2 linked regions of the Alligator mississippiensis genome follow. The protein of the gene in region 1 interacts with the protein of each later gene in a pairwise test. Links are inferred from orthologs where the notes say so. Each region holds a gene or a part of one and is shown in the gene's direction. Other genes may lie near its edges.

Region 1 (16,523 bases):
GTCACTTGCAAATCAAGGGAAGTGATTCTTTCACTCGATTCAGCACTGCTGAGACCTCACCTAGAGTACTGTGTCCAGTTTTGCACCCCACACTTCAAGAAAGATGTGGACAGATTGGAAAGTGTCCAGTGCAGGGCAACCAAAATTACTGGGGGCCTGGGAGGCAAAATCTATGGGAAAGGCTTGAAAGAATTAGGGTTATTTAGTCTGGAGAAGAGAAGATGGGCGGGGTTAGGGATTTGGTAGCAGTCTTCAAATGCCTAAAAGGTATTTGAGGATGGATTCATAGATTCATAGATGCTAGGGTCGGAAGGGATCTCAATAGATCATCGAGTCCGACCCCCTGCATGGGCAGGAAAGAGTGCTGGGTCTAGATGACCCCAGCTAGATGCCTATCTAACCTCCTCTTGAAGACCCCCAGGGTAGGGGAGAGCACCACCTCCCTTGGGAGCTACTCTAACTGTGAAGAAGTTCTTCCTAATGTCTAGTCTAAATCTGCTCTCTGCTAGCTTGTGGCCATTATTTCTTGTAACCCCCGGGGGTGCCTTGGTGAATAAAACCTCACCAATTCCCTTCTGTGCCCCCATGATGAACTTATAGGCAGCCACAAGGTCACCTCTCAACCTTCTCTTGCGGAGGCTGAAGAGGTCCAGGTGCCCCAGTCTCGCCTCATAGGGCTTGGCCTGCAAGCCCTTAACCATACGAGTGGCCCTTCTCTGGACCCTCTCCAGGTTATCTACATCCCTCTTGAAGTGTGGCGCCCAAAATTGCATGCAGTATTCTAACTGCGGTCTGACCAGAGCCCAATAGAGGGGAAGTATCGCTTCCTTGGATCTGTTCGTCATGCATCTGCTGATGCACGATAAAGTGCCATTAGCTTTTCTGATGGCTTCGTCACACTGCCGACTCATGTCCACTAGGACTCCAAGATCCCTTTCTGCTTCCGTTCCACCAAGCAGGTAATTTCCTAGGCAGTAGGTATGCTGGACATTTTTCCTCCCTAGGTGCAGAACTTTGCATTTCTCCTCATTGAATTGAATTCTGTTGTTTTCTGCCCATTTGTCCAACCTGTCCAAGTCTGCTTGTAGTTGTTCCCTGCCCTCCGGCATGTCTACTGCTCCCCACAGTTTTGTGTCATCCGCAAACTTGGACAGAGTACACTTCACTCCCTCGTCCAAGTCACTGATGAAGACATTGAAGAGTATCGGTCCTAGGACCGAGCCCTGCGGGACTCCACTGCCCACACCCTTCCAGGTTGATACCGACCCATCTACTATGACTCTCTGGGTGTGACCCTCCAGCCAATTCGCCACCCACCGGACTGTGTAGTCATCCAAGTCACAGCCTCTTAACTTGTTCACCAGTATGGTGTGGGATACCATATCGAAGGCCTTCCTGAAGTCTAAGTATATGATGTCAACCCCTACTCCTGCGTCCAGGCGTTTTGTGACCTGGTCATAAAAAGAGACTAGATTAGTCAGGCATGATCTACCTGCTACGAACCCGTGCTGGTTTCCCCTCAGCCTTGATAATTTTTTCAAAGACTTTGCCTAGGATGGAGGTGAGACTGACTGGCCTATAGTTGCCTGGGTCCTCCTTCCTCCCCTTCTTGAAAATGGGGACCACATTGGCCTTTTTCCAGTCCTCCGGGACCTGGCCCATGCGCCACGAGCATTCAAATATTCCCACCAGTGGCTGTGCAATGACGTCAGCCAGGGCCTTCAGTACCCTCGGATGGAGCTCATCTGGGCCTGCTGACTTAAAGGCATCCAGTTCCTCCAAGTGACTCTGCACCATCTCAGGGTTTATGCATGGATGGAGGTGGACTTTCCTCTGGGGCCATAGGACACAAGACTAGGAGCAGGACTAAGCCTCAAACTGCATCAGAAGAAATTTAGATTGGAGATTAGGAAGAACTTTCTGACTATGAGGATGATTAGGCATTGGAGCAGAGAGACCATGGAATCTCAATCCCTGGAAATTTTCATGACCAGATTGGAGACGCTTGCCTGGAATGGTTTAGTCAGGGTCAGTCCTGCTTTGAACAGAGGTCTGGACTGTGAGGTCTCTTCCAGGCCTGCTTTCCTGTAATCCCGTGTCACAAGGTTCCACACAATATTAGCATTGCTAGGCGTACAAACACAATTCACAAGATGAACCCATAGATTTCAAATAGGAACCCAGTTTTAAAAACATTCTGATCTGTTGTGATCTTTCTGCATTTTTTGCAACAGAATTACTCTATTATTTTTCTGCACTCAAAAAAGATTGAAAACTTAGGAGCAGGCGTTTTTCAATGGATGCCTCAAATCCAAAATGAATGAGAACCCATGGTTTAATTGTTTTATTTTGATAATGTGGATTCACTTTTTGTCACTTACATGGTATGGTAAATGCATATCACATAAGGTTATAAATTCACCAAAATAAAAAAAAAGTTTATTATCAAAGGAAATTTAACGTTTACGTTATCAAAGGACATTTCTGATTTTCCCATCTAACATTTTGTTGAGGTGACCATATTCCTGCAAAATGTTTCAGTTTTAATTGAACTATATCTTCTGATGAAAATCTACTTTCACTTATTACCATGTTTGAACTTACACCCATCCTGCAAATGCTGAAGAACATACAGAATTTTTTACTTACAAATAGTCTCATTGAGGTCCATGTGACTATTCATGTGAGTAAAATTACATGTGTGTATAAATAAGGGTTTGTAATTACATGATCTTCAACATTAGGATTTAGATCCTTTATTCAAAGACTGATCTTCAAAATCCCTCCTAGCCGCCTATGTCTGATATATATATATTAGTGCCTACATTTTCAATATTCAAGTTTCCTAGGTATCTGAAATGTTGCTTCTGAGGTTGCTCAGATCCCCTGGCTTTTTAGCATGGTTGAGTAGCTTGGCACCTATCTCCACACTGATGCCCAGTCAGGATCCTCAGGCTAAATCCCCATAGATGCCCAATCTGGTAGGCAGACAAGGTTCTTTGGGTAAATCTGATATCTTGGGTATACTCAGAGCACATTTAAGGCACATTGACAATGAGCTCCACACACAGCAGCTCTAGCCCCTTTCATTCAAAAATTCAGCCAATAAAGTAAGAGGGGGAAAATGCATAAATAGTGCTTTGAGCAGAGGCAGGAACCCAGGCCTTATGTGTTCCAGATGAGTGTACCAATCACTAGTCTATAGAGCAGGGGTGGGCAATTATTTGGGCCCAGGGGCCACAATGGGAGTTTTGACAAATTGTCGCAGGCCAGGTCGGCACTTCCCGCCCACTGCAACAACTCACCAAAACTCCCTGTGTGGGATGGGGCCATGGGTGGAGAACAGTGTTCAGGAGCAAGACAGGCAGGGGAGGCTGGGATCCCAGGGTGGGATTGTGGGGCAGGTGGGGGGCTGCCTGGGCACACACATGTGTACACATGTGTGGGTGGGGATCTGTCTGGGCACTAGGTCCTGGGAGTAGGCCAGGTGAGGAGAGGAAGGAGGGGGTCTTGGCCCCATGTGGAGTGTCACAGGGCAGCCGCGGGCTGGATCAATTGGTGGGCACCCCCTATAGGCCCCCTCTAATCAGTTGGTGGGCCAGATCTGGCCCACAGGCCATATTTTGCCCACCCCTGCTACAGAATTATGCTCTCACTCCCTCATCCAATGCATTGTAAATTCTGTTTTGCAAGGTGGCTGTGCTTAAATGGGCAACATACAGAGTTCTTCCCCTCCCCATCCTGCCCCATGATAGGTTAGGGCACTCCCCTGGAATGTGACAGATTTGGAATGGACAGCCTCATGGTGAGGGGGGCATTGAATCTATGTGGCACCAGCTGCTCTGCCATATAAAGGACTAGAGAACCCCTCCTGTGTTTTTGAAAAGGATGGAGGAAGTTTCAGGCTGGCAATCCCAGTCTGACAGATGTGCCTGCCTGCAGTCCAGAGTTAGATGTCTAAGCCCCCCTACAACAAGGGCTAAATTTAAGACTTACTTCCCCTTCCATCATTTTCTATGAGCTACCTTTGTCAGCATCTGCTCAGCATGTTGTCTGTTGTGAAGTCTATTCTAAGATACCTGACTTCCTCCATGAATGTATAAGGGGTTTAAATGTCTTGCTCAGCAGTGGATTCTACTGCAGAGACCAGGAGCCTAAGAGTTAATTTTTGCTCTCTCGCCCTGATTTTCCAAACCCTTAAGCACATGTATAACTTTACATCATGTCCATTGTTTTCAGTATGGTGCCGCTCAGACAAAGTGATCTGACAATGCACAATTAAGTTTGCAAGGTCTCAGGGCCTTTGGTGCAATACCCTGCTACTAGATCAGTTGAAGGGGTACTGTATATTATAGGAACTGGGGTCCTGTTACTACAGTAGTAAGGTCCACCCATATAATTCTAATATTCTATGTATCTTTCTAATATTCTTCAAACAGAAGAGTTCAAGTTTCTTCTGGTTTATTCTTTTTTCTTACATACTGTAGTTGTCAACAAATAAAATTAAGAATTTAAAACAGTGAGTACAGAGAGGGGAAAACTACACTTCCCAGAGTCCTCTAAGAAACCAAACACCAGTTCTGCATCTTCAAAAAGCAGTTGGTTGTGTTGGAGCACTTCTTAAGAGACGGCTGCTTGAGTTGGAGCTCTTTAGCACTTCAGGTATGCTTAATGTATGAAGGAAGTATCTCTAAATGTGAATGACTAATTAGTTTGATAGTTTTTCTACCCTAATATGGGGTCAAAATACCTGACAGACTTTCACTGATAGGGAGAAAGCCTTCCCTTCATTTCTCTTTATGGGACTGGTAATCTTGATGTATTTTGCTCATTAGCAAAAAGGCCGTTTTGGATCTCTGAACCTTATCAGCAGTCAATGAATATTGAGAGTAACCACAAATTTGAGAGAAAGGAGTGAGAAGAGAGTAGGTGAAGTAATTAGGCAGCTTTAGAAAATAAAGAATGAGATGACTCCATCTGAAAAATATGGAAACAATATGGAAAAATATGGATTTCTTTAATCTTTTCAGTTAAAAAATTCCAAGCTCAAGAACAGTGTTTCTTTTCAATCAGTGCTGTCATAAAATTAATTACATGGAAAGTACTGAAAGTAACAAAATAGATGAGAAGACAGTTACTTGAAAGAAATAAGCCTATTTGTCTTCACTAGCTAATCGAGCTGATACAAAAAAGCCCTTAGTAATTCTGCAAAAAGCTTAAGCATTTCAAACTTGACTTCATTCCAAAGTGCTTGAAACTGCTGATTTCCACTGGTTCTAAAATGTTCACAGTATTTACAATATGTTGACATGTATCAAAAACAAAACTGAGTTGGGTTTTCTGATAAACTAATTTGGGCACCCCAATGTTAAAATATAGACAAAGCAAGATTTTCTTATGACAAAGTTTTGATAGCGTTGAAAGGTTTTTCAAATAATGTCTGTTTCTGAAACAGGCTGTTTTTCAGAATACAAAATTTGCATTTGAAGGGGGAAAAAAGACCAGTTGTACTATCTAATCTTTTTGATGCCAAAAAAAGGGTTCTGCACTGAAAAAAAACTGCCAGGGAGAGAGTTGTTACACAGCTTTCTGGATATTGCCAAAGCTATGCAACTTTAGTTATGCTGTTTCTGCTGTTAAAGGGATATAGCATGAGGATGGTAAAATAGATAAGATCTTAGGCCCTGAGCCTGCAGTAAATTGTAGTGATATGGACTACTACTCTCAGAGTAAGGTCATTTGACTCCAATGAAGTCCTGCTTAGGCAGAGAAGTCTGCCTCACATGACCTTGGGGGCCTCCAGTAGAACTGAAAGTTGGACATAGTAAAGGATTATGCCAACTCTCACAAAAGAAAAACTGTTTGTGGGTGGTGTCAGCGTGTGATTTCATAACGTTACATGGTGTGATGGAATACTTTGAGATGAACAAATGCTAGAGTCACACTGTAGATGAAAGATCCTCTGTGAAGGACACTGAGATCTGACACATTATAAATTGGCTTCAACCTGAAAGCGATGTAACTTTGTTTTTAAGACTTTCATGGAAATGTTGACTCACTGACAGTGTCCACATGTAGTATTGTTCTTTTAGAGATTTATTAAAATGTTTAAGGAATACCCTAGCTCTGAAACAGAGTAGACGAAGGTGGGAAATAAAATTGCCTGTCACTTAGTAAGGTTCTTCAAAACTTTGTTTTAATGTAAAATGTTGATTCTGTTCGCACACATTCTTAATTTTACTTGTATGAGTTGCAAAACATAAGATGTATGTGAAAGTGTTAGGAAGATCAAGGCTTTAGACATTACAACAAAACTATTTTGTCCTGCTTTATTTAGCAACCATTTTGTTTGACTGTGTTTCTAGTAAGAAAGGAGCCAATGTGGTTGTTTCTGTGCCTGTGCACTAGAATTGGTGATGATATCAGCAGGGAATGTGTGCTGCTATAGAAATAATGGACCTGATTGATCATTATTATATATCAGTGTATCAGGAGTAACTTCCTGTATTGATATGAGTGGTTGAAACCCTTAGAAAACTAAAGTGGGAAGAGACTCTACCCCAAACTTAGTACACTCTGCAGCAAAGCAAGAGGAGACTCATATGTCATATTTTAAAGTAGTAAATGACTTTTTTCAGTTTACTTTTAAATAATTCGGCGACAAAAGGCAGTGCATAAAGGGAAAGGGAGGAGTTTAAAACTGGACAGTATTCCTCAGATGTTTATAGCCGAAGTCAAAATAATTGAGTGGCATCCCTTTAAAATTAGTATGATCTAGTGATGCTTTTAGATGTCTGGAAAGCTATTATTAACAAGCTTGCTCCATGCAAGAAATATCCCTCTACTTCCCCAAAAAGTTGACTGCTTTAAAGTAACCTTAAGTCTGAGGATTTAAGTTCACACAGACCAAGACATTTAGAAGTTAAAGTTCCCACAACACGTTAACATAGGCATGCTCTCCGGAACTTTTAGTTAATATTTGCTTATCTACCTGAGAACAAACCAAAAATTAGATCTGCATAGGTATACCTCTGCATCCACACAAACCTAGATGAAGAAATTGTGCTTCCCACTGTCCTTTGGAATTAAATCCATTACAGAATGTTACTTATATCATAGAAAATGCCTACTTATTACTGAAATATCAGAGCACCTAATGCACAATAATGAATTTAGCTTTAATACCCTCATGAGGTGGGGAAGTAGTATTAACCTCATGTTACAGACAGAGATTGAAAGTACTGGTTGATTTTTTTTTTCTGTTGCTGCCCAACTAATGCAGCCATTCCACCTGTGAAAGTGAGCGTAAAGACTGCTGTCATACCAGATTGCTCCACTCTTGCAGGTGATAGTCTTAGACACCTGCTCACTTCTCTTTTCACAGATGTAAATATTTACACAATGTGCCTTTCAGCTCTAAACTTCTATGAATCTGTGGGAGTAGGCCCTGTGTATGTCATTCATCCTCTGAGCCACTCTGAACTCCAGCCAACCTCCAAAGATGATGGGGACCAAGAGGGCAGGCAGCACCTCTGTTGGGCTCCTACGTGATTGTAAGTCTCATGTTCTCCATCTGCAACAGCTAAGGAGATGGAAGGGATGGTGTGTTCTACCTGCTAAGGGGAATTAAATGAGCAGCCCATTTAAATGCAGGTAACTTGAAGTAATACATGAGCAAAGCCTTGAATGCTGGACACTTCACAATCTGTATTTAAGACACAATTTATTTTGACAAGGTGTAAACTGAACAGCAGATGAGCCACATGCTGACTGGGGGGTGTAACAGGGAACCCTAGCCCTGTCACCCGAAGACAGGTCTGCTCCTTTAAGGCCTGAACTTTCTGGGTGTGGAGTACTGGTGAGGAATGGGGTTAAAGGCCGAACCTGTCCAGCTAGTCAGCTGACCAGAAGGGGCAGGCCAGGACTATAACCCTGGGCAGAGTGGCAGTGAAGGCCAGCAGCCAAGGGGGAAGGAGAGCATCTCAGAGCTCCAGGAAGAGGCTTGGTGGGCAGTCCAAAGCCAGGAAGAGGGGAACTATGGAAGCCCCAGAGAAATGACAGCCGCACCGCAGCAAGGACTGGAGCTGATGGTGGGGAGCTGAAACACGAACCCTGCAAATGCAAGCTGACATACCGCTTTCCTTACTCACATTTGTGGGTGGCAGATATTGCCCAGGGATGGGACTGTTTATTTTTCTTTTGGTTATCAAATAACACCAGTGGTTTGGGCGAGGCTATTAGGGGAAGGAGGAGGCCTCCTTTTTGGGGCCCACTATGGAGCGGAGACCCTGGTGCCAGTGAGGACGTGGTTTTTGGGGGTACATAGACCCCGGTGCTAGTGGGGGTGTAGGATTTTAGGGTGCACTGACCCTGGCACCTGAAAACATGATCTTAAAAAGACTGGGGAGTTCTGGTGCACCTAGGGTGCAATTTTATTTATTTTTTTGTTGGACTGGGAGAGTGCAAGTTTGGGGCTGTCCCCTGGCCTTGAGCTTGTGCCCCCTTGGTTGTGGGGCTGGTGGCTGGGCCTCTGGGACAGTGGGGCCAGCCTCTAGATTGGAGCAGGAAAGGGGGTCACAAGCCACAAGACACTGGAAAAGGCTAGAGCCTTGGAGTCAAACCCTGTGTGGTGGGTTTAGACGGGGAGGCCTAGCTAGAGAAAGACAAGGGTCAGGCCCATGTAGACAAAAGGCCCCAACATACAAAAAAGTATGACAGGCAGTCTCCCGCTCGCAAGAACATCATCATCATAATTTTCTATCGAGACGTGGCAGGCGAGAAGAGGGCGGGACATAAGAACTTCAAGGAAGACTCCAAGGGTGCCCCACGTAAGGTGCGGATTACCAGAGAAGATGGCCCTGGGGAGGGCGACCTGTTACAGGGGGAACCCTGCTCTTCCGCAAGAGGGCTGCATTTTGTAACTTTGCAGACAGGAGCACTTCTAGTCTCAGTGTGTGGACCCAGTAGGGCACGGTTCGTTGAGGAGATAGGATATTATTAAACCAATGGAGTAGCTGGAATAAAGTTCTTAACAAGCTTTGGGGCACAGCCCAGGGTCTACCTCACTGAGTCTAACTGTGAATAGTTGGCAGGGTGCGGCAGAGTCACGAGCTTGCCTGTTTCTCCCGCAAACTCTTGATCCTGCACCTGACCGACCCCAGCCTGGCAGGCAAGCTGCTTGAGCCCCTGCCGACAAACTCGGGTGACGGCGGGAGCAATGGCCGTGGCCCAAGGGCCCGGAGCCCCCTCCTGCTGCCGGCAAACGAGTGTGTGTCCGCAGCTCCGGAGCAGTTGCTGCTGCTGTTGCTTCACCCGCCGCGCTGCCCTTGGGCTGGAGGGAGCCTGGCCCCGGGCGGCGGGGCGGGGGCGGGCGAGCGAGCTCCTCTGCCTCATGTCCCTGAGGGGCCGGAGCCCGGCCAGGCCCGGCTGCCCCGCACCGCACCGCACCTGCATCCGCGGGACCGCGTCGGCGCCGGGCCAGTGCCCGGGTCACCAAGCAACGGAGGGGCAGAGAGGCGGGGCCGCCCGAGACGTCAGTAACAGCAGGGGGGGGGCCTATCGGGGCCACCAAGGCCGTGACGTAATCCCTGCCCCCCAGCCGCGCTCTGCTCTGCCCCCCACCTCCGCAAGCAGGTCCCCGCGCGGGTGAGCTGAGCTGAGCCGGGCCGGGCCGGGCCGGGCCGGGCGGAAAAGGAAGGTGCGATGGAGGGGACGCTCCGGCGCTGACCCCGCTCCTGGAAACATGGTGTCGCACGTGAGGCTTATGTAAAATGAAGGACACTCCCCGCAGCCAATGGGGGCGGGGGGCGGCCCAGCCCCGCCCCTTCCGCATGCAGATGAGGCGTCGGCAGAGCCAATAGGCGACGTGGGGGCGGGTTCTGTGGCCGCGGTCACGTTTCTGACTGTATGAAGTGGGATCTGTGGCGAGCGGCGAGGGCTGGTGAGTGCGCGCGGGGGCTCCCGGAGCCGGGCCGGGCCGGAGCGGGGCCTGCCTGGGGGCGCGGGGTCGGGGTGCGACAGGGCCCACGCGGCCGCTGCTGGGGGTCCGCGCCCTAGAGGCGGCGCGGGGCTGCGGAGGGCTCGGCCGCGGGGGCGGGGCTGAGTGGCCGCGTCCTTCCCGGCCTGGAGATGCTCTGTCCCCCGCGGGCGGCCGCTCCCGCTGCTGCGCTTTCTAACCAGCCTGTCCGCGTGTGCGAGCGCCGGGCGCAGTCGGGTGGGTCCTGCCGCCCGCCGTCGCCTCGGGGAAGGAAGCGGCTCAGACAGATGGTGCCGCCGGGTGCGGGCAGAGGGCGGCAGCAGCTCTGCCGAGACGCTGGCTTAGCAGGATGTCAAAGGAAATTTGCGTTGTTAAGTTCCCGAGGGCTCGGGCTGCCCCGTGTGTTTTTGTCTCTAAAACGCGTAACTCCGAGCTCTGCGGTCACACGCGTGTGAGCGCTTCCCCGGGCGCCGCCTGGCACTCGGGTTAGTCCGGGCCTCGCCGTGCGGCACTGCTGCATGCACCGCCTGGCCCGAGCTTGAGCAGGAGACGAATGCTGCTTAAAAGCCCAGGGCACTGCCAGTGCTGGCCTGTTTGCCATCCTGAAACCAGCCCCTCACTTTCAACTGGTTGAATTGCTTGACAGCTGTTTTCCATTCACTGTGCTTATAGGGAGTGCATTTACAATAATGGTTAGGATGTGACTGCATGACAGCAGAGGTTCTCAACTTTTTTTTATTATTATTCCTGAGGCAGCCCTCTTGGTTTTCATGAACTTATAGGTTGCAGAGGGAAAAGTAGAGCGATTCTCCTGTTGTAAAGAGCTGAGACTACAGTAGGTCGGATTGTTTTGGGCGTTACAGATTCCTATTTTAAATCTGGGTTTATTTTCTGATTCATACAGAGGTGTTTGCACACCTAAGAGTGCTAATATTGTGTGACACCCTTCAAAGGATCTCACAGCAGCCTGGTCAAGAATCATTGAGCGAAGTGGTGGTTTTGTAAACCTAAGTGAAGCCAGAAGCCTGGCCTTAAAACATTATGCTTCTAGTCTGAGGAATGGGAATTTGCCCTGTTAACACAAAGCAGATTTCAAAGTTGTTCCTGTCTGTGAAGCCAGAGACTTTGAAGTGAGGGGACATCTATGTGCACAGAAGACTTGGCCTTTATCACTTATTTGTATTATGAGTGTTCCCCTGCATCCCATGAGGACCCACTCATTATTCCAGTTACTGTACAAACAACATAGGAAGCATAGGTGACGTGTAAAGGGGGTATGGGGGGCATGTGCCCCTCCCCTGAGATTGGCCACCTTCGGCTTCTGTGTGGTCACTGCTCGTCACCCCTTCCCTCGCCAGCATCTGTGAGTGGTCCCCGCTTACCACCTCCCACCCCCCTTGCTGCCAACACTGCTATTGGCACCTGCAGGTGGTCCCTGCTTGCTGCTGTGGTGCCCTTCCCCCCCCTCCCCCCCCAGTCTCAGGAGGCACCAGTTGTTTATGATAGGAAGTACCTTGAAAAGCAGAGGGTCTAAGTCAGGGGTGGGAAAAATACTGCCCATGGACTATATCTAGTCTGCCAAGGGAATTTGTTCTGCCTGCAATGGGTCCTTCTGTCCTGCCTGTCCCAGGGGCAGGGGGCAGCCCAAGCTGTAGTGCACGTGGCCTATACTGCTGCCCCCAGGTGCGCAGCAGGGCTGGGGTGGTGTGGTGGCCTGACATGCTTCCTGGCTGTCACTGCCCTGGACCTGGACCTGGGCACCCCAGCCCGTCCACCCCACACTCACCATTGCGGGTGGGACCTGTGCGGGCAGGGCAAATGGCTGGGCAGATGGGATGGGGCTGTGGACAAGCAGGAGGCAGAGCTGGGATCACAGGGCAGGATCATGAGGTAGTAACAGTGAGGGCCTGGGGTCAGGGGTAGAGCCGTAATCTGGCCACATCTCTGATGGGTCTTTGTCCGTTCCCTTGTGCAGCAGTGTTTTACTAGGGTACTTTCTCCAGATCTGAGGGTTTGAGAAAGGAGAGGGTGGATTGGCCAGGGGATGAGACTTAACATAGATAAGGCCAACGTTTGATTTCCACACCCTTCTCTAGAGCCACAGCCTGTCTACCAGAGGTTGATAGTGCAGATGCCATCTTGTGTAGGTATTTACACACTATACAGTGCTGATTCTGTTTGGTACCTTTAAAAGGAGCCTCCTGCTACCATTGTTGAGAACCAGGGAGTTACAGAGTAGACAATGACTGAAGGATTCTGTGTACAGAAGCCATTTATATAGTTAACAGATATGCAGATTAATTTGATGTAAGCTGTAGGTAACAAAGTTGGACTGGCATTGTTTAATGCAGTTTAGTGAATTATGCATTTATCTGCCATGCATACCAGTGTGTTGCATTTTTTTTATTTATTATTTTTCACTCAGTAATCTAATGACCAGGGTGTTTCATACTTAAATAAACAAAAAAGACCTCTTGCCTCCTTTCTACCACAAAGGTCCTTCTTTTTAAAAAATAAGGCTTTGTTTTTGTTTACTGTGGTTTCAAATAACACACAATGCTATTATTACTGAAATAGTGTGGAAGGGGGCATTGTCTGTGTGCGTTTGATCATTTAATAAACTCATTTTTGCTATTCTTCATCTACTTCATGTAGACCTCATAAAATAGAAAGAGAAGGAACCTGTAAGGGCTTCCAGAACGGAACTTGTTGAAAGGACTTGAGTGGCATCTTAGGCTGTTTGTTTGTTTTTATTACACTTATAAATTGACTAGATTTCAGTTGTCAGTGTGTCTTGAACCACCGAGTATGTTTGCAGGTGACATTACTCAAAGCAATAAATAGCTCTGCGTCTGCTTCTAAAGGATGTTGAGGACAAATCCTCAAGGACACTATGATAATTTTGACAGTGAGGCCATAAGTGTGTGTTGAAATGCAAGTAAGTTAAAATTTGGATGTGGAGCTTTGCCAGACCAGAACTTGTTGTGACAGGTTCAGTCATACCAGCAAAGACTTGCTTTACTTGGATCCTGATTCTTTATTAGTAGAGTTAAGAAAGTATTGAGTGTAGGCCTCAATAGGGTATAAAAATCAAGTCTTTAAAAAGCCAGGAGTTAAAACATAAACTAAGTTATTTGTCAGTTAATGTGTTAACCTCTTCAAAAATAATAGTGAAATATGTTATTAAAATTGTGTCTGCATGTGCAAGAAGTACTAGGAATTAATGTCTGCCTTCCCTTGAATTAAACTTTAAAATTAACTTTTCACGGAAACTGTTATACAAGTGAAGGTGACCAAAATTGTTGTTGTTAAAACTCTGCCAATTTCTTAAGTGTAAATAAGAAAGCAGAGGCTTGTGTCTCCCAGCAGAGGTCGTTTTATTGCTAGATCCCATTTGGGTGTTTTGGGTGCTACTAAAATGAGTGACAGTCTGAGTTTTGATTAGAAACTTAATCTCATCATAGTGATGATTTCCTCTGAATAGAATTATATTTCATTTGTTTAATGTCTTAGCTAAAAACTGGTAAATAAGTGTGGATATATCCTGAATGTGACCTGGCTTTTTCTCTGATTTCTTATCTGATGACCAGAAAGTCTAAATTGCATAGTCTAGGTTGATACAGTATTTAAAAGAAACTAGTTACTTTCTATGTTTTCATTTTGTTTTGTTTAAATGCACTTTTAGAAGTCTAAAAAGAGCTTTTCAGTAACACAAAGCACCTTTTTTCCGGTCAGTCATTTGTTTAATTCACAGTACCTTTACACTACTGTCTCAAGAGCTGTTCTAATAGGCCCATGTTAAAAGGGAACAGCGTGATCATTTGAAACTGTTGTGTGCTTGTGCCAAATATTATACTATAGAAAAGTTCCTATTTCCAGAACTGCCTGGTTACCTAGTAATTATAATGCATAGTAACATAACAATTCAGATGTTATAAAAAACTTGTCCTTCAGATTTTGATTCAATGAAGTAAATCCATAGAGGGTTATTTTGGGTTTTGTTGTTGGGTTTTTTTTGGGGGGGCAGGGGTTACCATGTTGCAATTTTAGATTCTGCATGCAGAGTATACACAAGAAGCACTGTTGGTTCTGAAAAGTAGCTTGAACATTTTAGAAGCTGAATTGTGTTATTAGATGTACTATCTGATCTCATCTGTGTGTGAGGGAGAATTGTCTACCTGTGCTGGACTTTGTATTACAGTTTTATTTTTTGTTACACTGTATTCAAGGTAGCAAAGGAAATTTGACATGGGAGAATATGATGATGTTACATTTTTTTTGTTTGATTTAATGTTTAAGGGTCCAGAACTTTTTCACCGCCATTACAATATCCATTTCAAACTCATTTTTGTTCATAATGAAGTCCCTTGATTTATTAAATTGGAGATGCCCTATGTGCAGCCTTGGCTGCAGATCAAATATGTCATTCAGTGGTAGGGAAGGTGTGGCTTCCCTGGGAAACAGACTGTTCTCTTGTCTTCTTCTTCAGCTTCAGGCAGGCAATTTTTTTTTCCTAGCTGTAGGAAAAAAATACAGGGGACAGAAAAAGATGGTCTCCAGGCTGTCTGGGATTCTCCTCCTCATAGTTACTCTTTGTGCCCTAACTGGGAAATAATTGGATACTTCAAGTCTCCTTTGACTTGCTGCTGATTAAGTACCTGCCTGAAGATATTCCTCTGCTGCGAAGAGCCAAGGCCAAACAAATGTGTGTGTTAGGACATGGTTTCTTGTAGCCCCCTTTTTATGAGTAGTATCAACATCTCATCAGGGCCATGTCCTCAGTTTGACAGTAGAGCCCTGCTTTTTGTGCGCGTCTAATCCAGAGGATTAAATGATCATTGAGTTTCTTTCCAGTCCTGTGGTTCTGTAGATGTACCCAAGCTATTAAACTGCCTGATTGGGGAGCTGAGATCAGTCCGATGTAGTCTAGTTGTGGCAGCACAGAGTTTACCATGGGCTAGTTTACTTTTTCTCCAGGAGGTTTTGCAGTGCTGAGTGAGCTCTATGCTGCTATAGCTGGACTGAAGTAATGCCAGGACTATACCTTGGTAAGGGAGTTTTGTCTCTTAATGATACATCTGTCCATCTCTTACCTGAACTGCAAGTTCGTATAGTCTTTTTTTTTTTTCCTATGGGATCACAAGCCAAGGAAACAAATGGCTTGCCTTGTTGCAAAGATGACCAAAGATATTTTGTTATAGACCTTTAATTTCCGCATCAAAATGTTATAAAAATTTGCATACAGGTAGCACCGGTAATTCTGGTTGGAAAACCTTGCTTCTCCAATTTTATTGAGTACAAAGACTTCCCATCTGCTTTTCATCCAAAAGGGAGGTGATATTACAAGTGTCATTCATGCCTCAGAATCCAGATAATCTGTGTAGTTTCCTGGCTATTAAACCCCTGAAACCAAAGGGAAGGTGCAGAAACTATAATGTCCATAATTTTTTGTCTTCCAAGAAGAAGCTTAGCAGCTCAACTTCAACCTGGCCCCTGAATGTGCTGTCAGTTGATACTAGGAAAAGGGTTTCATTATTGTATCTGCATGAGTACCACAGATTTTTGAAATTCTTAGAGATGGACTTGATTGATGCCTGGCAGTTCAAGCATTTGGAGATCAAGGGTATTTGACAAAGCAGCAGCTTGGTTCAGCAGGCAGGTAGTAGATTTCATCTTTTCAGGTGTCCAGAATTTTGAAAGTTACTTCTGTTGTCATTGTGTTTTGGGAGGACTTGGTTCTTCTCTGAGATTTTACCTTGCTTCCAGTGTCATTAGGGCTCCTCTGTTGGAACAAGTCATGACGTTACTTTCTAAGCATTACAAATAAAGCCTTTTTGATAGCAACCAGTTCTTAGGTTATCGTAGATGGGAGATCTTTTTCCTGAAGCCACAATACTGCACCTTCTTAAAATGTAAAGTGGTGCTCGGAACTAACGATGCCTTAATAATAAAGGTTAACTCCAGGATTTAAGGGCTGTTGGAAACTGCCGTTCTGGTCAGGTTTGTGATGTCCCAAAGGGAAACTTAAAGCTGTGGAGACATCAATCATGTATCTTTAGGGTGCATGTTCACTGCACAACTTTAATTCAGAAACTCAAATGTGCTTTTCTGCTGTTATCCCATGTCCAAGGAAAAGAAGCCTTACATTACCTTGACCACCTGGAAGCTTCTAGTTGTAGAATACAAGTACCAATATCAGAGCTCACTTCCTTGGAGCTGTTGTTACTTCATGGGAAGAAAAATAGTGCATTTCATATTATAAGGATATACATAAAGCAGCCATAATTACTGATACCATCCCTAGATTCTACAGGCTGAACAGTGAGGCATCTGATGCTGCCTTTGGTCTATGGGTGCTTCTCATTACAGTAACTCAGTAAATGTTAGAGGAACGTTTTTTGTTCTTTTATTTTTTATCCCATTTCACAACTATGTATAGTTGTATATGCTTTTCAAGCGGGTACTTCTGTGAAAGTCCAAATGTTATCATAGGAAAGTAGGGCTGGAAGAGACCTTACAAGGTCATCTAGTCCAGTCCCCTGCTCAA
Region 2 (15,909 bases), on another chromosome or scaffold:
CTGAACAAGAACTGGTTTTCTTCTTTTTTTCTCTCTGCCTCTTTAAAGAAGGGAAGGTTCGTGCTTTGCAAGGTGCTCTCTACAGAGGTTTCAGCGTCACCCGACAAGCAAACGGTGCTTCTTGAGGCCCACGTGCACTCCCGTAGATCATCTCCCATCACCTCCAGGACACAGGGTGGGTCCCCGGGCGGCAGGCGGGGAAGAGGAGAGGGGCCCCGGGACAGACAAGAGCTTCACGCTGCAACACCCAGCTAAGAAGAGAGCCCCGCAAGCCCCGCGCCCTGGGGACGCAGTGTCTCGCACGACCCGCCGTGGTCGCCAGACCAGCTTGCCTCGGCTGTCCGGGACCGCCCGCCGGTCCGGCCCAGCAGGGACGTGGGCGCCGCTCCGCTCAGCGCCGCGCCGCGCCAACAGACAAACCGCTGAGCGGGGCCCGTGCGGATCGGAGTCGGACCAATGGCCACAGAAGCCTGCACGCACCCACCATTCCCGGCAGCCAATCAGAATGTGAACAAGGAAGCCGGGCTCCTGGTCCTGCCTCATCCGGCAGAGGCCAATCAGAGGGAAGAAAGGCGGAGTGGCTGTGACCCCGCCCAAGCGGCACCACCACCCAATCCCCTCACGGCTCATGGCGCCCAATAGGAACACGAGTCTCCCATCCGGGCCCTGGAGCTCTCTACAGCCCGGACTCCATGTCCGTGACTCGTGTGTCTGCCCCGAGCAGCGCCACCCCGCCTGCCCCGGCCCCGGCCCCGGCTGCGGCCGCGGGCCCTGCCCGAGTGACTCCCGAGCGAGCCAGGTCTTTGGTCTTGTCTCCCTGCCTTGATCTCCCGCCTGCCCGAGCTGCAGGCGCGGGGCCCGAAGCCGCTTTCTCTCTCTCTGCCCTCGTCTCTCGGCTGTAAAGCCCGGCTTGAGTCGTAGGGCAGTAGCACAGGGCAGGGGTTTCTTTTCTCTGCCTTTTTAAAACCGGCTGCTCCGCGCAGGGTGACGCGCGGAAGGGCGGCACGGAGCCGGCTTTGTTCCGGGTCCTTCTCTCCGGGCTCCAAGCCCCGCTCCAGCACGGCCACAGGAGGGCGGCTCTGAGCAGGGTTTTTTCGACGCCTTCACGGGCTGCGCCAATACCCCGACGGGACCACCGGAGGGCAGCACCGAGCAGCGGGTTAGTCTCCCCTCCGCGGCGCCGCTCCTCGTGACTGCAGTGCTCGGAGCGCACCACCGGAGGGCAGCACTGAGCCGGGTTTGTCTTCACGGTAAGTGTAGCAGCACAATGCACATGACCCCTATTAGTGCGTATATACTAACGACACACGTTCGTATGCGGTTATATGCAAAGATGATAGCTGAACAGCTACATCACTGTCGCCACGGGTAGAGACAGAGAGCTAATAACTATATTAATGAGGGTGTGTAGTACATACACACACACTATCTGAATATCGGTATACACACACAGCCGTACTGGATACAGCTCTGCACAATGTAAGTTTTCCAAAGTAAGTACGAAATCAATAACACCGTCACTTCAGCTCCCTGTTCTCCTTTTTCTACTATTTTACACCGAGCAGTGAGTTCGTCTCCCCTCTTCGGCGCCGTTCCTCGGGGCTGCAGTGCTCGGAGCGCACCACAGGCGGGCAGCACTGAGCCGGGTTTAATCAGACCACGTATGGATGGACACACAATACCTAGTATATCTGCATGAACTACAGCCACTAGTATATAGGCATAGCACAGAGGATACATTAATATCTATATCGCTATCCCCATGCATAGAGCTAGACAGAGAGCTAGTAATAGGATCACTGTGTTAATTATGGTGTATGTTATACACACACACATTATTTGCATAGCAGTATACATACACACCCATACTGGATACATCTCTGCACAGGTTCAGGTTTTTCAAAGTACACAATGAATAACACCAACACTTCAACCCCGTGCTCAGTATTATACTGTGTTGCACCAAAAATCCCAAACTCTGCCCTGGAATTGAACTCATGTCTTGCTGTGCTTCCTGAACAACAATGGGTTTTTCATACCTTTTCTCTTTAAAAAATGAAAATTTGGTATATTGCAAGGTGCTCCCTAAAGACGTTTCAGCATCAGGCCAGAAGCAAACAGTCCTTCTTGGGAGGTCCATGTGCACCCTCTTAGACCACCTCCCAGCGACTACCCAGGTGGAAGGAGGAGAGAAAAGGGGCACTGGAACAGACAAATAGCTTCAAGCTGAGAGAAGTAAAGACTGTGGGGGCAAGGAAGGCTCTTCCCCACCCACCTCGCAACTCTCCAGGTGCAGGTGGGAAATGCTGGTTGAGCCATGCTGCCGACTGTGATGGGACAAGGGGTTTCATGGGAGGCCTTCAGGGGAAGAGGGAGTCAGAGGCTGACAGAGACATTACTGTCACAGGCCCTGTGGTGGTGGCCACAGAAAGATGAGAGGCTAATACATGTTGAAGCTTGCTGAGGTCCACATGCTCAACACCAGTCCGGGCACAGGGAGGTACAACAACAAGTCTGTGGGTCTGTGCCACTGGTATCAGCCTAGCCCATGCTTTGGGAAGGTGCTTTAGTAGTTTGGGGGTGAGAGCTGCAGCCACTAGAGCCGGTACCTTTGGACATGTGCAAGTGAACAATGTGCATCCAGTCAGAAGCCGAAGCAACTGCTGGAACACTCTGTTCCCTCAGCATGTCCAAGGCAGGAACACGCACTCACCCACTGCCAGGGCTGGCTTGGATCTTTCCAAGAGACTAGTGCAGGCCCCAAATGCCCATTTCTGAGCAGTCCGCACAGTGACCTGTTGCAGACGTGCTAGCTGGTGAGGGCCCTTCACGTGAGGTAAAACACTTGTGCTGTTAACCGCAACACGGATGAGGGTTAAATGACCCTGCTGCCAGCCTCGGCCATTTTCAAGGTGCCTAGGCTAAGTTACAGAAGTGCTGCTAAGCGGAAGGCCCAAAAACTTGTTCTGAATGACCGGAGCATAAACCTTTCCAGATGTGACAACTAACTTGGTCAGCAAGCAAAGGAAACCATCAAATCATTAACCAAAGCATGAAGCCTAAAAAGAGCTAAGAGAAGTCTATACATTGAATAATCCACATATACTATATCATAGCTTTATCCTGAAGTAGTAGTGGTAGCAACTGATGTAACTAAATATACATTTATAAATAATGGCATAGGCTGAAGAGAAATGCAGAGAACTCAGCAAAATCAAGACCTGCTGCTAATCTGTATGCCACCCTCCTCCCACCTCCTGGGTCTCCCTGGCCAATACAGGTGAGAACCTATGTTTTACGGTTGTAGGCAGCCAGCTAGATTTGGGATAAATATTTGTTCTCATGTTTGTAAGGTGCAAACAAATAAAAGGTTTCATAGATGTTAGGCTCGGAAGGGACCTATTAAATCATCGAGTCCGACCCCCTGCCCCAGGCAGGAATGACTGCTGGGGTCATATGAGACCCCAGCCAGGTCTGTCCAATCTCCTTCTAAATACCTCCAAGGAAGGGGACAGCACCACCTCCCTTGGAAGCGTAGTCCATCTTTTGGCAACCCTCACTGTAAAGAATTTTCTCCTGATATCCAGTCTGAATTTGCCTGCCCTCTTCCAGTTTGTGGCCGTTATTTCTAGTTACACCAACAGCTGCCCTGGTAAACATCGTATCCCCTATGGGCCCCTGAGTGTGTAGGCAGCCACGAGATCACCCCTCAGCCTCCTCTTGCGGAGATCTGTTCAGGTCTCCCAAACAGTACACATCGGGTTTTTGCTGTAGGCCTTTAACCAGATGAATGCCCCTCCTCTGAACCCTCTCCAGGCCATCCATATCCCTGTTGAAGTGCGGTGCCCAAAACTGGACACAGTACTCCAGCTGTGGCCTGACCAATGCTGCATAGAGGGGAAGTATCACTGCCCTAGACATGTCCGTGATGCACCTACTCATGCAAGTATGGGTGCGGTTAGCTTTACTTATTACCTCATCACACTGGTGACTCGTATTCATTCTGGAGTCAACTATGACTCCGAGATCCCTTGCAGCAGTCATAGATTCATAGATTCATAAATGTTAGGGTCGGAAGGGACCTCAATGGATCGAGTCCAACCCACTGAGTAGCACGACAGTATGGTCCCTCCCAGGCTGTAGCAGTGTTGATGATTCTTCTCCCCAGGTGCAACACATGACACTTATCCTTGTTAAACTGCATCCTATTCTGCTCAGCCCATTTCCCCAGCCTGTCCAAATCGGGCTGGATTTCCTCCCTGCCGTCTAGTTTGTGTACCTCCCCCCATAGTTTGGTGTTGTCAGCAAACTTGGACAGGGTGCCTCCTACTCCCTCGTCCAAGTCACTAACGAAGATATTGAATAGCACCGGTCCCGGGACTGAGCCCTGGGGGACTCGGCTGCCTACATTTCTCCAGGTGGAAGCCGACCCATCCCCCACCGCTTTCTGGCTGTGCCCCATAAGCCAATTTTCTACCCACCGGCCTGTGTAATAAACTAAACAGTTGCAATGTAGGTTATTTATAAGAATTGGGTGTGACACTGTGTCAAAGGCCTTTTTTTAAACCTAAAACACCATGAGTAGCATGTCAGAAAAGTTTCAAGGGAGTTGCGATGTACAGTCCAGTGATGACACCCAATGCTAATGAGGCGACCTCAGGAAGGAACAAGGCTCCAGGCCTCGACTCGGTTTCCCTGCCACGTTCACGGGCTGAGAGATTCTCGTCTCAGAGAAGTGGGCTGGAATACGTACATTTCAACCCGAACTCTATAAAATCCCCACACAAAGGCAAAGACGTGGGAGTCAGGAACCGGCCTCAAGCCTGGAGGATGCACGGCGAGGGGCGCTGGCCCCCACGGGGCACTGCGTGCGTCCGGGTATGCTCTGCTGTATGTAGCTGCTCTTGGCAGAGGTGCTCAATTACCGAGGTAGGTCCCAATAAAATGGTGAACTTTTTTTTTGAAGAACTTGCTTTGGCTTTTCTTGTACTTGTCCAGAGATCTCCTGGGCGTAGCGTGTGTGCATCAGATGACCCCGGGGTGGGCACCGCAGGGCTCGGAGGCGAGTCTGGCCCGTGGAGGGCCGCCCGTCCCGCCTGACCCGGCACCCCGCGGCAGGGCCGCCCCGCTCCGCACTCGGCGGCAGGAGCGCCCCCAGACCAGCCATCCGGACCGGCGGCGGCCAAGCAGGAGGTGCTGCTCGGCACAAAGGAGCAGCGGCCCCGCAGACTTCTCCGCTGCCAGGCCCTTCTTCCTGCAGCCCACGGCCAGACCGCCCAGCTGCGCACAGCCCAGGCACGGACTCCAGGAGGGACACGCACTGCGCATGCGCTCTAGAGCCCGGGCCTCCCAGTCACGCGACGGAACTCTCGAGAACGGCCATAAACACGCATGCGTACTTGGGAAGAGGCGGTGCGTCACGTTTGCCCATCAATGGGCAAAGCAAGTACGCATGCGTGAGGCGCTTATCACTTCAATAGTGAATAGCTCGATGGTACTGACAAGTCCGCATGCGCAGTAGTCTCAGACGTAACACATCGACCGCCGATATTATGGATTGTGCGTACATCCTGTCAAATACCAGACACTGGCAGAACAGGAGCCATGGATGGGTTTCCATGGTTACAGAGGCTCAATGCGCATGCGCACTGGGAATGACCGCTAGGCTTCTCCGGAGTCAATATTCGGGGCAGGGATGAACCCCCCCGCAACGTTTCTCCCGACCCGGAGCTTCAGCCACGCCAAGTACGGAACTGGCGTGTGGGAAAGCAGCCGCCACGTTAAGCTATCAGTGGGGGACACCCACTGCGCATTCATGGTACAGAGTGGGCTCCCCATAAAGTGCCGAAAGCGTCTATATCAGACCACGAAAACACATGCGCACTCAGGAAGAGACGATGCATCGCGTTTGCCCATCAATGGGCAAATCGACTGGCCACGCGCGGGCTGCTGAAGGGTTGATCAGCTGGGCTCCGAATTTATCGAGGGTTCTGGATCCTGCGCATGCGTACTGGGCGCTATCAAAAAAAACCGCGATCGCGGCGCATGCCTCCGGGGAATTTGCGGACGCTATAAGACCAAGCATCAGAAATAGATTTCCATGGTTACAGAAGGAATGACGACAGGACGAGAGCCAAAACTATCAAGGCGCGGGTCTCGGAGCGCATGCGCACTGGGAATGAGCGCTACGGACAATACTGGTGGCTCCGGGCCCACAGCGGAAGCCACCCGGGGCCGCGGCACCAGCGTCGGGGAAAGTGAGGCGGCATTAAGCCATCACTTGGGGGGGGGGTGGGACCCAGTGCACATGCGCTGTACAGAGCCAACTGCCAGTCGCGCGAGGAAAACATCGACGAGCATCCATAAGCACGCGTGCGCCCTAAGGAAGAGGGGGGCTATCTCGTTTGCCCACTAGTGGGCAAACCAAGTACGCATGCGCACGGCAACGAGTGGCTGACTCGTGCTTGTCAGTGTGCATGCGTAGTGGTCGCAGTCGAAGTGCGCCGAACGCCAATATTATGGATTTGCGCATTCGTCTTCGAGTCATGGTTTTGTTTCCATGGTTACAGAGGCGCTGATTAGAGGACCAGCGCGGAAGCTCGACAAAAACATCGATGAGGGGCCATGAACACGCATGCGTACTTAGGAAGAAGTGGCATATTGCATTTGCCCATCTATGGGCAAAGCAGTTGGGCATGCGCGGTGCAAGGTTGCGTGAATGGAACACTGAATTGAGTGATGTTGCTAGTAAACCCACATGCGTAGTGATCCCAAACGAAATACATCAAGCACCGAGACTATGGATTGGTGCATGCATCATTGGAATACGGGAGCTCTGCCAAAGCAGGAGGCATGGATGAGTTTCCATGGTTACACAGGCAGTGATGACAGGACCAGTGCCGAAACTATCGAGTTGTCACCTCCAGGCGCACGTGCATTGGGAGCAGGCTGCGGCAACCGAACGCCGGCACCATGGATTTGTGCCGCAAAATGCACATGGGGAACGGAGAGTGATGATGAGGCCAAGCACTGAAAGTATCTATGGGTGAGATCAAATGGGCAGGGTAAAACGGGGCAGGTGCTGTGGCCGAGACCCAGGTGACCCCTACAGGCCCAAGAGCAAGGAGCGACCCCGTGCAGAAGGGGCCAGGGCTGCATTTACATCACATGGAAGAGCCTGAGAAAGTGCAATAAGAATCTGTTTCTCCAGCCTTTAATAATATAGACAAGACTGAAAACCAGTAACTGCTTTCTGGACAGGTGGGAAAGAGCAGCTCAAAGCAGCACCTGATGTTTGGTTTTGTGAACCTGCTGGAAATTAAACTAGGTCTGAACAGCAGAGTAAAACACAACAGGGCAAAGAGCATTCCCAGGCACACAAGGAAAGAGATGAGCAGTGCTCCTCTATTCCAGAGTTGTATCGGACTCCAGGGACACAGGCCCCAGCACATTGGCATCTCCCAAGCCCACAGAAAAACAAGTTCACTCACATTCCCAAAGTTTCAGTGAAACACATTTGCATTACACCTATTGCTATCAGAACAGTGATTTTAAAAACCCACATATAAATTTTAGGTGTAAATGCAGGGAAACTTTACAAAGACTTTTGCAAAGTGGAAACAACCTGCTGTTAGCCTCCTCCCTCCTGCATCTCCCCAGCTGGTAGAGGTGAGAATCTGTATTGTGGTGTTGCAGGTAACTAGGCAGGCATAGATAGAAGTATTTATTCTTGTGCTTTGAGGTGTAATGAAAAGGTTGAGTTATAGACCTGTCTCTTGCTTCTCCTTCTGGCTTGGGTGGTAGTACCTTACTTGTTAAGAGGGAATGGAAGGTCCAAGTTGATGCACTTGCCTTTAAAAGGCTGGTGTTGCACAGAACAAACTTTGGGGCAGGGGCCTTTCATGGAGGTGGGCTTTCTTGCTCCCCCTTGTGTCCTGATGCCCCCATGAGCAGATAGCTGGGGAGAGGAGAGGGACAGGAGGGTAAATAGTGTTAAGGGGGGCTTGAGAGGAAGACTGGTAGCAAAGGTGTAGAGGCAGCATGCAGGGCTTGAGAAGGTGGGTCCCCACCTCAGATGGGACCCTGGATGGCATGGCTCTTGCACTGAGACTGTGGAAAAAGGTAGTCAAGGACACAAAGGTCCCCCAGAGACAGCAGAAGGCCACAAGGTTGGGGTGGGGCCAAGGAAGGTTTTTTGGGGGGCAGACCCATGGGGTGTAGGGAGTCTTGGGGGTGGGGTGAGGGCCTCCTGGGGGTAGGCACTGCTGCCCTTAGGGTCCCAAGGAACTGAGCTAGTATGGGGAGGGGGCTCTGATGACATGTTAAGAGGATGAGTGGGAATCCCAGGGCCCCCCAAAACTTAGGGTCCCCAAAGGTCAGTGAGGGGCAAGGCTTCCTGCAGTGGGGTGCAACTAACCCGGGAAGGTGGGGGTGGGGCAGGGTGAGGGCAGCCATGAATGCTGGAGCCCCAGTCTGGTCTGGGGGGCCCTCCCCACCATCCCCACTCCCAGCCTGAGACCCATCCTGTACCCTACTACTCCTCACCTTGTTCTGAGCCTTCCTAGCACCCTCCTCTGTTGGTCAGCACCTGCAGCCATAATCCTGGCCTGCACCCCCTGCTCTCTGACCCCCCACCTAGACTTCCCTCAAGTCCTGTCCCTGCTCACCACCGCCTGGGTCTCCCTTGACTGCTGCCCACCCCCCACACCCGACAGGCGTTGTCCTGGTCGCTGCCTGTGCCCTGCCCCATGTGCCGTCTGCCAGGCAGGGGCTGTTTGGAGGGGCCGCTGCCCGCACTGCAGGGCCTGCCCCTGCAAGGAGGCGAAGGCCCCAAGGACGTCGCGCCTGAGAACAGCCGGGACTGGCCGTGCTTTGGAAGGGGCTGAGGGAGCCAAGCTGAGCCCGGCCCGGCGTTCCGCCGCCGCCGCCAGAAAACGAGGTCTGAGAGTGTGGTGCAAGCAGCAGGTGGGGGGAGGGCTCGGTCCCTCCGGTTCCTGGGCTGGGCTCGATCCCGGGCTCCAGGGCTGGGAGACTAGGTCATCCCGGACGCGCTTTTGTGCCCGGGCCCAAGCGCAGCGGGTCGGAAGGTGGGACCCGCGCGCCGGAAGCGGCCGGAAGCCCCGCCCCGTTGCTACGGAAGTGAGGTCACACAGCATGGCGGCTCAGGCCGGGGGCCGCTGAGGAGGCGCCGGGCCCCCGGGAATCCGCGTCCATCCTCCACCTCCCTGGTGCCGCGCGCGGTCCCGGGGCCGCGATGGTGCCGGGCGCCGCCAGTCTCTGAGCCGCGGGCCGCGCCGCCGCCGCCATGGAGCTGCGCGTCGGGAATCGCTACCGGCTGGGCCGGAAGATCGGCAGTGGCTCTTTCGGGGACATCTACCTGGGTAGGCTGGGCCGGGCGCGGCGGCGTTGCGGGGCCGAGGGAAGCCTCTGACTCGGCGCGGCCCGGGGCACCGATCGCCCGCGCCGTTCCTCCCCTGCGACCTTGGGCGCGGCGGCGCCCGCCTGGCCCGGCCGCCGGTCGCGGGGCCTTGCCGGGCCTACCCGAGTCCCCGGCGGAGGATGACTCGGGACCGCTCCGAACGGGCGTCCTGCAACCGGCCCGTCTTCCTGCTTGGCCGCGCCTTACCCCGGGGTGCGCGGCCTCCGGGAGCGGCTCCACGCCGGAGCTGCAGGCAAGGGCCTGGGGGCGACACGAAACTCGGTAGGAGCCAGCAGGGTGCCCTTGTTGCCAAGGCTGCTCACGGCATCCTGGGCTGCATTGCTAGGAGCGCTGCCAGCAGATCGAGGGCACCATTCTCCCCTGCTATTCGGCACTGGAGAGGCCACATCTGGAGTCCTGTGTCTAGCTGTCCACATCCTTTCTGTTGTGGGGGGCCCACAAGTTGGAGAGTCTAGCGGAGGGCAGTGAAAATGGTTCAGGAGCTGCGGGACAGGACCGGTGAGGAGAGGCTGAGGGAACTGGGCTGATTGAGTCTGGAGAAGAGAAGACCGAGGGGATTGAATAGCAGCTTCACCTCCCTGCAGGGGGGCTGCAAGGAGGATGGAGCTGGGCTGGTCTCAGTGGGGGCAAATGACAGAACAAGGAGCAATGGGCTCTAGGTGCAGCAAGGGAGGTTTAGGTTAGATGTAAGGAAAAACTTCCTTAGTCAGAGGGTAGTAAAACACTGGAACAGGCTCCCCAGAGAGGTGGTGGAGTCTCCATCCTTGGAGATTTTCAAGACCCAGCTAGACAAAGCCCTGGCTGGGATGATGGAGTTGGGGCTCGTCCTACTTTGTGATGACCTCCCTTCTAGCCCTAACTTTCTGTGATTTCTGTAAACTGCTTTTTTTGGTATAAACCCCCCACCCTGAGGCAGTGATCCCTCAATTTTGATTGAGGCCACTGTACCCCGTTGCTAATTTAAATGTTAAGCAAAGATTTTGAATGTGCTTAAGAGGAAGTCAGAATGACTTGGGTCTGTCTGAATTTATTTTATGTAAAATAAATGTTTATATGTAGCACGTTGTCTTGGAGGGAGGGGAGTTCTTGAAAACTGGGGTAGTTTTCAAAAGGTAAGTCAGAACAACGCTTTTTCTTGTCTTGACAGTGACAAAGTAGCCATAGGTCTAGTTATTTTCTTTTTGAGCTCTTTTGTGCATGTGGTCAGTGTAATAGATTTGCCTACAAACTATTAATTTTTTTCTCCTAAGCCACATTTTTAATTCAAGAGGCTGTATGTAATCAGAAATAACAGCTAAATGAAACTCTCTTTGCAGGCTCTCAAGGTTGCTTATCCTTGAGTAAAATGTGTACTCAATGAAAACTCCCTGTTCTAGCTGATGGCCTATGAACTTGGGGGGGTGGGGAGAAATTTGGGGGCTGTTTCAACGCCTCGTGTATAAGGCTGAGGAAAGTGGTGTGTTGCTATGTACATGTTATGCCTGTATTTCAGAACTTCCATTGGCTGTCTTTGGATTTCAGGCTGCACTTTACAAACGAGAGAGAGAGCACCTTAAACCTGGTGGCTTGGTGCCTACCGGTCTAAAAAATGGTCTGCAGAGGGAAGTCAAATCAGGCTAAGTCATGTGTGAATGTAAAGTAATAGCTGCTCCTAATGACCTTCCTCTGGATATTGTCTACACCACACAAACAAAGAGATTGTTCCTCTTCCCACAGCATTCTGCAATAGTTTCAGATCAACGGAGGCTTTTGAGTTGATATATAAAAGGAAACTGACTTGTATCTTTCCATTTTTGTGGTTCTTAACTATGGGAACAAAGATGGAAGCAGAGTGTGGGGATGGGCAAGTATTTGTATCGCAGTACTGTACTAGAGCTCTAAGGTATGAAGCTAGCTGCAGCACTACAGCATTAGTCCCATATTTTCTGTCTTAGACAATCCTTAGAGGGCATTGCTTGCAGTGCTTTCTGCTCGAGGGTCCTTCACCTTCAGATTGTGCTCCCTTTGGGTCCCAAATGACTTAAAACAGCCAATCTGAAAACATGATGGTTAAAGGAAGTTACTGTATCCAGCTAATGATGTGGATTTTTTTTTTTCCAGCAAAATCTAGTGGGGTTTTTGTCTGTTTGTTTGCTTGCTTGCTTGTTTGTTTTCAGGAACAGCCCTTTGGTGACTATCCTGAATTCCTAGTTTAAATCTTAATTTGTTTGACTACTTCTTGTTCTGATAGGGTGCTTAAAAGCTCACCTAGATGATGTTCAAATATGTTGACAAAAACAACAAAAAATCTGAGCCTTTCATGTTGGCAAACTTTTTTTTTTTAACTGGCATGTGCTAATTTCTTCCAACCATTTTAAGTAGGGAATAACAATTAAGAGTTGTTATATTAAAGGTTTTAACTAATCTATTTTCTTATACTGGTTCACTGCCTAACCATAGATAGCTTTTGATATCCTTCAGCAGATGTTAACGTTTCATCTACGTTACTGAGTTGGCTGTGTGTGCGTGTGCGCCTTCCATTACCCCTCTGCCTCTTTCCTCCCCCCAGTCCTTTCCTAGTACACAGTACAGGATATGCTGGAAGAGTAAAAAGAGTTGGGGAGGGACTCTGATGCGAGTGGAGGAAGGAGACTTGCCCAAATGTGCCTTTAGGGAAGGTAAGCAATTCTGCCCCAGCCCCCTGTGCTATTGTATTTCTGCTCCCCCCCCAGCTGTAAGGATTTAGAAGAGTATCCTGGTGACTACTTACAGCAATGGATTCAAGAAGTAGAATTTCAGCCGTACTTAAATTTTTTAAGTGACTTTATTGAGAACAAATTTGGGGTTTAATATGCCTAGGCCTTTGAAATTAGCATCCTGATAAGAAAACAAAACTGCAGGGGTTCTCAAATGTTTTTTAAATTGTACAAAGAATGTCCAATATAGAAAAAGAGAACAGTAGGAATAGTAAGCTGTTCTAATATTTGATAGGTTAGGCCAAAACTGGTATAAATGCTACAAGCACATAGCTACTTTGTGGCTTCTGCATACTGTTTGCTTTGCTAGCGAAGACTCCTAACTGTAAACAGCTAAAATCAGAAGGAGAGCATCTCAACATATTTCAGCCCTTTTTCGAAGTGAAGAAATATTCATGCTGTCACACTTCATGACAAATTATAGAAATTTTTGACCATGTCAAAGTAATTTTGGAAATAATATTTTCTTTATTTAGTGAGATTTTATACCTCCTAATTTATCTTTCCTGACTATCAGGAAACTGCAGCCTGCTAATTGAAAAACTGTTTGCTAGAGCAGTGGTGCCCAACCCATTTAGGAGCCACAGCAATAAATGCTGTTGGTGCTTGTCTTATATCCAGTTTTCTGAACCTGGATTTTGGTCACACCTGCTTTAGACTGTAACTCCTCCTGGTTTTAATCTTATCTACATAGAAGCAGATAAGATCAAACACTTTTAATAAATGCATGAGCATGGAGAAAACATTCAAACCCCAAATAAGAATGGTGGGGGGAGGGGTAGAAAATTGTATGGCATAAAACCTACTTTTTAAATCAAGGAAGAAAGAGGACTTGGAGCATTCTTTTTAAAAATAACATCTTCATGCTAGATATTTTTTAGTTTGCTGTTTGTACAAGAATGGCATGCCTTTCCAAAGCTCATGGGTGACCTTTACAAGAGTTAAAAGTACAGATTTAAAATGAATTGCCACTTACCACTGTATCCAGCAGAACTTGATCCCTTACAAAGCAGAACTTACTCTCATCAGACTTGATCCTCTGCAGCTGCTCATGTAGATAGGCTGTGCCTTGTGGCATTCTCACTGGTGACAGATGATAGAACAAGGAGTAGTGGTTTCAAGTTGCAGCAAGGGAGGTTTATGTTGGATATTAGAAAAAAACATGCTCACTAGAAGGGTGTGATGAAGCATTGGACCAGGTTACCTCAAGAGGTGATGGCATCTCCCTCCATCCTTGGAGGCTTTTAAGGCCTGGCTTGACAAAGACCTGGCTGGAATGATCTAGCTGGGGATGGTCCTGCTTTGAAGCTGGGGGTTGGAATAGATGTGACCTCCTGAGGTCCCTTCCAACCTTCATTTTCTATGATTCTATGCCCTGATGGTCAGCAGTCCATGGCTGCTTTGGAGTAGGGGAGGAAGGCAAACTCTTTATTGAGCTGACATCCTTCACAGTCTTCTCCACAACTGAAGGTGCCTCAGTTTTCAGGCTTTAATAACTGCTTTAATAGAGGAGGAGGGGTGGTCTGTCTTATAAGGAGGATCCAAGCCATTTGGAGCAGAGTAAATCAAATTTCTCCTTGCATTTAATCTGGAAACCAGTAAGTGGCTAGTGTGTATTGTGAAATGGTTATCCTGTATTGGCATTGAGGAAAAATACTTGATAAGTAGGCTTCTTAAGTTTCTGGCTTGATTTCAAGTATAGGGCCATCTAAAGTGTACAGCAGTAGTCAAGTACTGTGGCTTTAAAAGCAGGGGTCCACTTAATGAAGTCCAACTCAAAATAACTGTCATAGTATCTTGGCCACTTGGACGTAGTGAAGCTCTGTTACCTGGTATGCGTGGGGAATGGGGCGTGCCGGTAATCTAAAAATGCTGGTTACCATGAGACAGGACTTTTTGGCCGGATGCAGGGTGGGGGGCTGGCAGCGGCAGTTGCATGTGGAGCAGCAACAGCACAGGGTGGCAGTGGTGGCCACCTTGTGCAAGCTTCCTTCTCCCGCCTGGTCTGGCCGGGCAGAAATTCCAGTTAGTGTGTGCCGGTTACTAAAATGCTGGTTAACACAGCTTTTACTGTACATGGTTGCCTAACAGGAGCTGGGATCCAGCAGTGCAACCAGATTCTAAATAGTATAAATAGCAGCTACGCACTCTTCATTACAGCTGGATATACATCTGTCTTCATAATTTTCACTTGTTTTCCTTAGTTTCCCAGGATCATTCCAATCTTATTTAGAATGAGCTTCATCCAGCTACTAGTTTCTTAAGGAAGTGCTGTATTTTCTTGCATTCATCGTGCATATCTTGGTTTTTGAAGGCAGAACTTAGACATCCCCCCCACCCCCCCAAAAAAAGCCACGGTCAGCTGTGTGACAATAAGTCCTCCTGGATACATGACGCACTATACTTCCTGGGTATACTGGCTGCTAGCAGACATTAAAAAAAACAAACCCCAAAACCCGGTGCTTTACTTCAGACTTTGCATGCCGAGAAGAGGCTGGCTCCACAATGGGTGTATAGATTCGGTGCTGCTGTTTCCAGGAAAACCCAGTCTGCAAAAGTAGCCGTTCTGTCCCACAAGGTAGGGCCCCCAACTGTTGCAAGAGCAGTAGCAAGACTTACTTCTTTACTATAAACAATTCTTTATACAAGTTCCTATGACTAAAGTGTTTCCACTAGGGATATGAAAGGTTAACCATTTAAACAAGCATATTTATACCAGTAATGTAGTACTGGTTAACATTTAGCATGGGTCGCAGTCTAGCAGGGAAGGAAAACGGCAGCTCAGGACTAGGAAGGCAGCAGGGCAGGCAGGAGAGGGTGAGAGGAGGATTAAGTGTGGGGTGTGTGGAGGCAGAGAGGTAATGGAAGGTATATATAAACGTGCAGGCCAGGTCAGCAATGTGGATAAAATTTTAAAAGCTGCTGAAGGATATCAAAAGCCATTTGTAGTTAGGCAGTGAACCAGTATTAAAAAAAATTAAGGTTAGTTAAAACCCTTACAATAACACCCCTTAGTTGTTATTCCCTACTTACAGTGGTAAGGCAGCAGAACTCAGGAGCACACCTATGGTTTATGAGGTTAAAGAGTAAAACAAAAAGGAGGGGGTGCTGATGACTACTCAAGCAAGCAATTGCTTTACTGCCCCTTCGCAGACCAGAAAACCAGATAACAGGCTACTTAAAGTTTAAACCCATCCCCAACTCCCCTTGCCTCATCCCTCCCTCTCAGCATCCTGGCCCCTTGCCTGCTGCTGCACACAGCCCCACAGCTTGCCCCTGCTCCTGTGTGCACCACTATGATGCTGTGGGCAGCCAGCTGTTGCCCCACGGCAGGGCAGGGTGGCACTGGCCCCAGGGCTCTGCATCTCCTTGGTCAGGACTAGGTATGTTATCAGCAGGGATCCTGGTTTTCCGTTTCCCGCAGAAAACCACAGATTCCCCACTTTTATCAGAGAAAACACGGATTTTCCCTTTTAGAAGAGAAACCCACGGATTTCCCCCTTTTGCAAAGAGCTGTGCAGGCTGGCAGAGTTCCAACTTACAAGAACTGTTTGCAGAAGGGGCTGGGAAACCCTCAACCCTGCCAGGAGAGGAAGGGATGGGTGAAGGGCAGTGAAGTGTGGATGTTCACCAATATTTGTCACTATTCTTTGCCTGCTCAATAGTGGTATGCAAGCTGTGGTTCTCAGTAACTGATCTATCACAGATCGCTTTGAGGTTAAGACAGGAGTTAAG

What was found.
Region 2: the proteins of PER2 (region 1) and CSNK1D interact in binary tests that used the Homo sapiens proteins (3 or more experiments, as listed by UniProt). The link is inferred for Alligator mississippiensis from reciprocal best matches to the Homo sapiens genes PER2 and CSNK1D.

Annotation. Positions count from the first base shown.
Region 1 is NC_081830.1:44,724,642-44,741,164, reverse strand, and holds the start of PER2 (period circadian protein homolog 2), read left to right. Parts: upstream 1-9,867; 5' UTR 9,868-9,940; intron 9,941-16,523. UniProt on the Homo sapiens protein: Transcriptional repressor which forms a core component of the circadian clock.
Region 2 is NC_081831.1:119,548-135,456, forward strand, and holds the start of CSNK1D (casein kinase I), read left to right. Parts: upstream 1-9,543; 5' UTR 9,544-9,558; coding exon 9,559-9,700; intron 9,701-15,909. UniProt on the Homo sapiens protein: Essential serine/threonine-protein kinase that regulates diverse cellular growth and survival processes including Wnt signaling, DNA repair and circadian rhythms. It can phosphorylate a large number of proteins.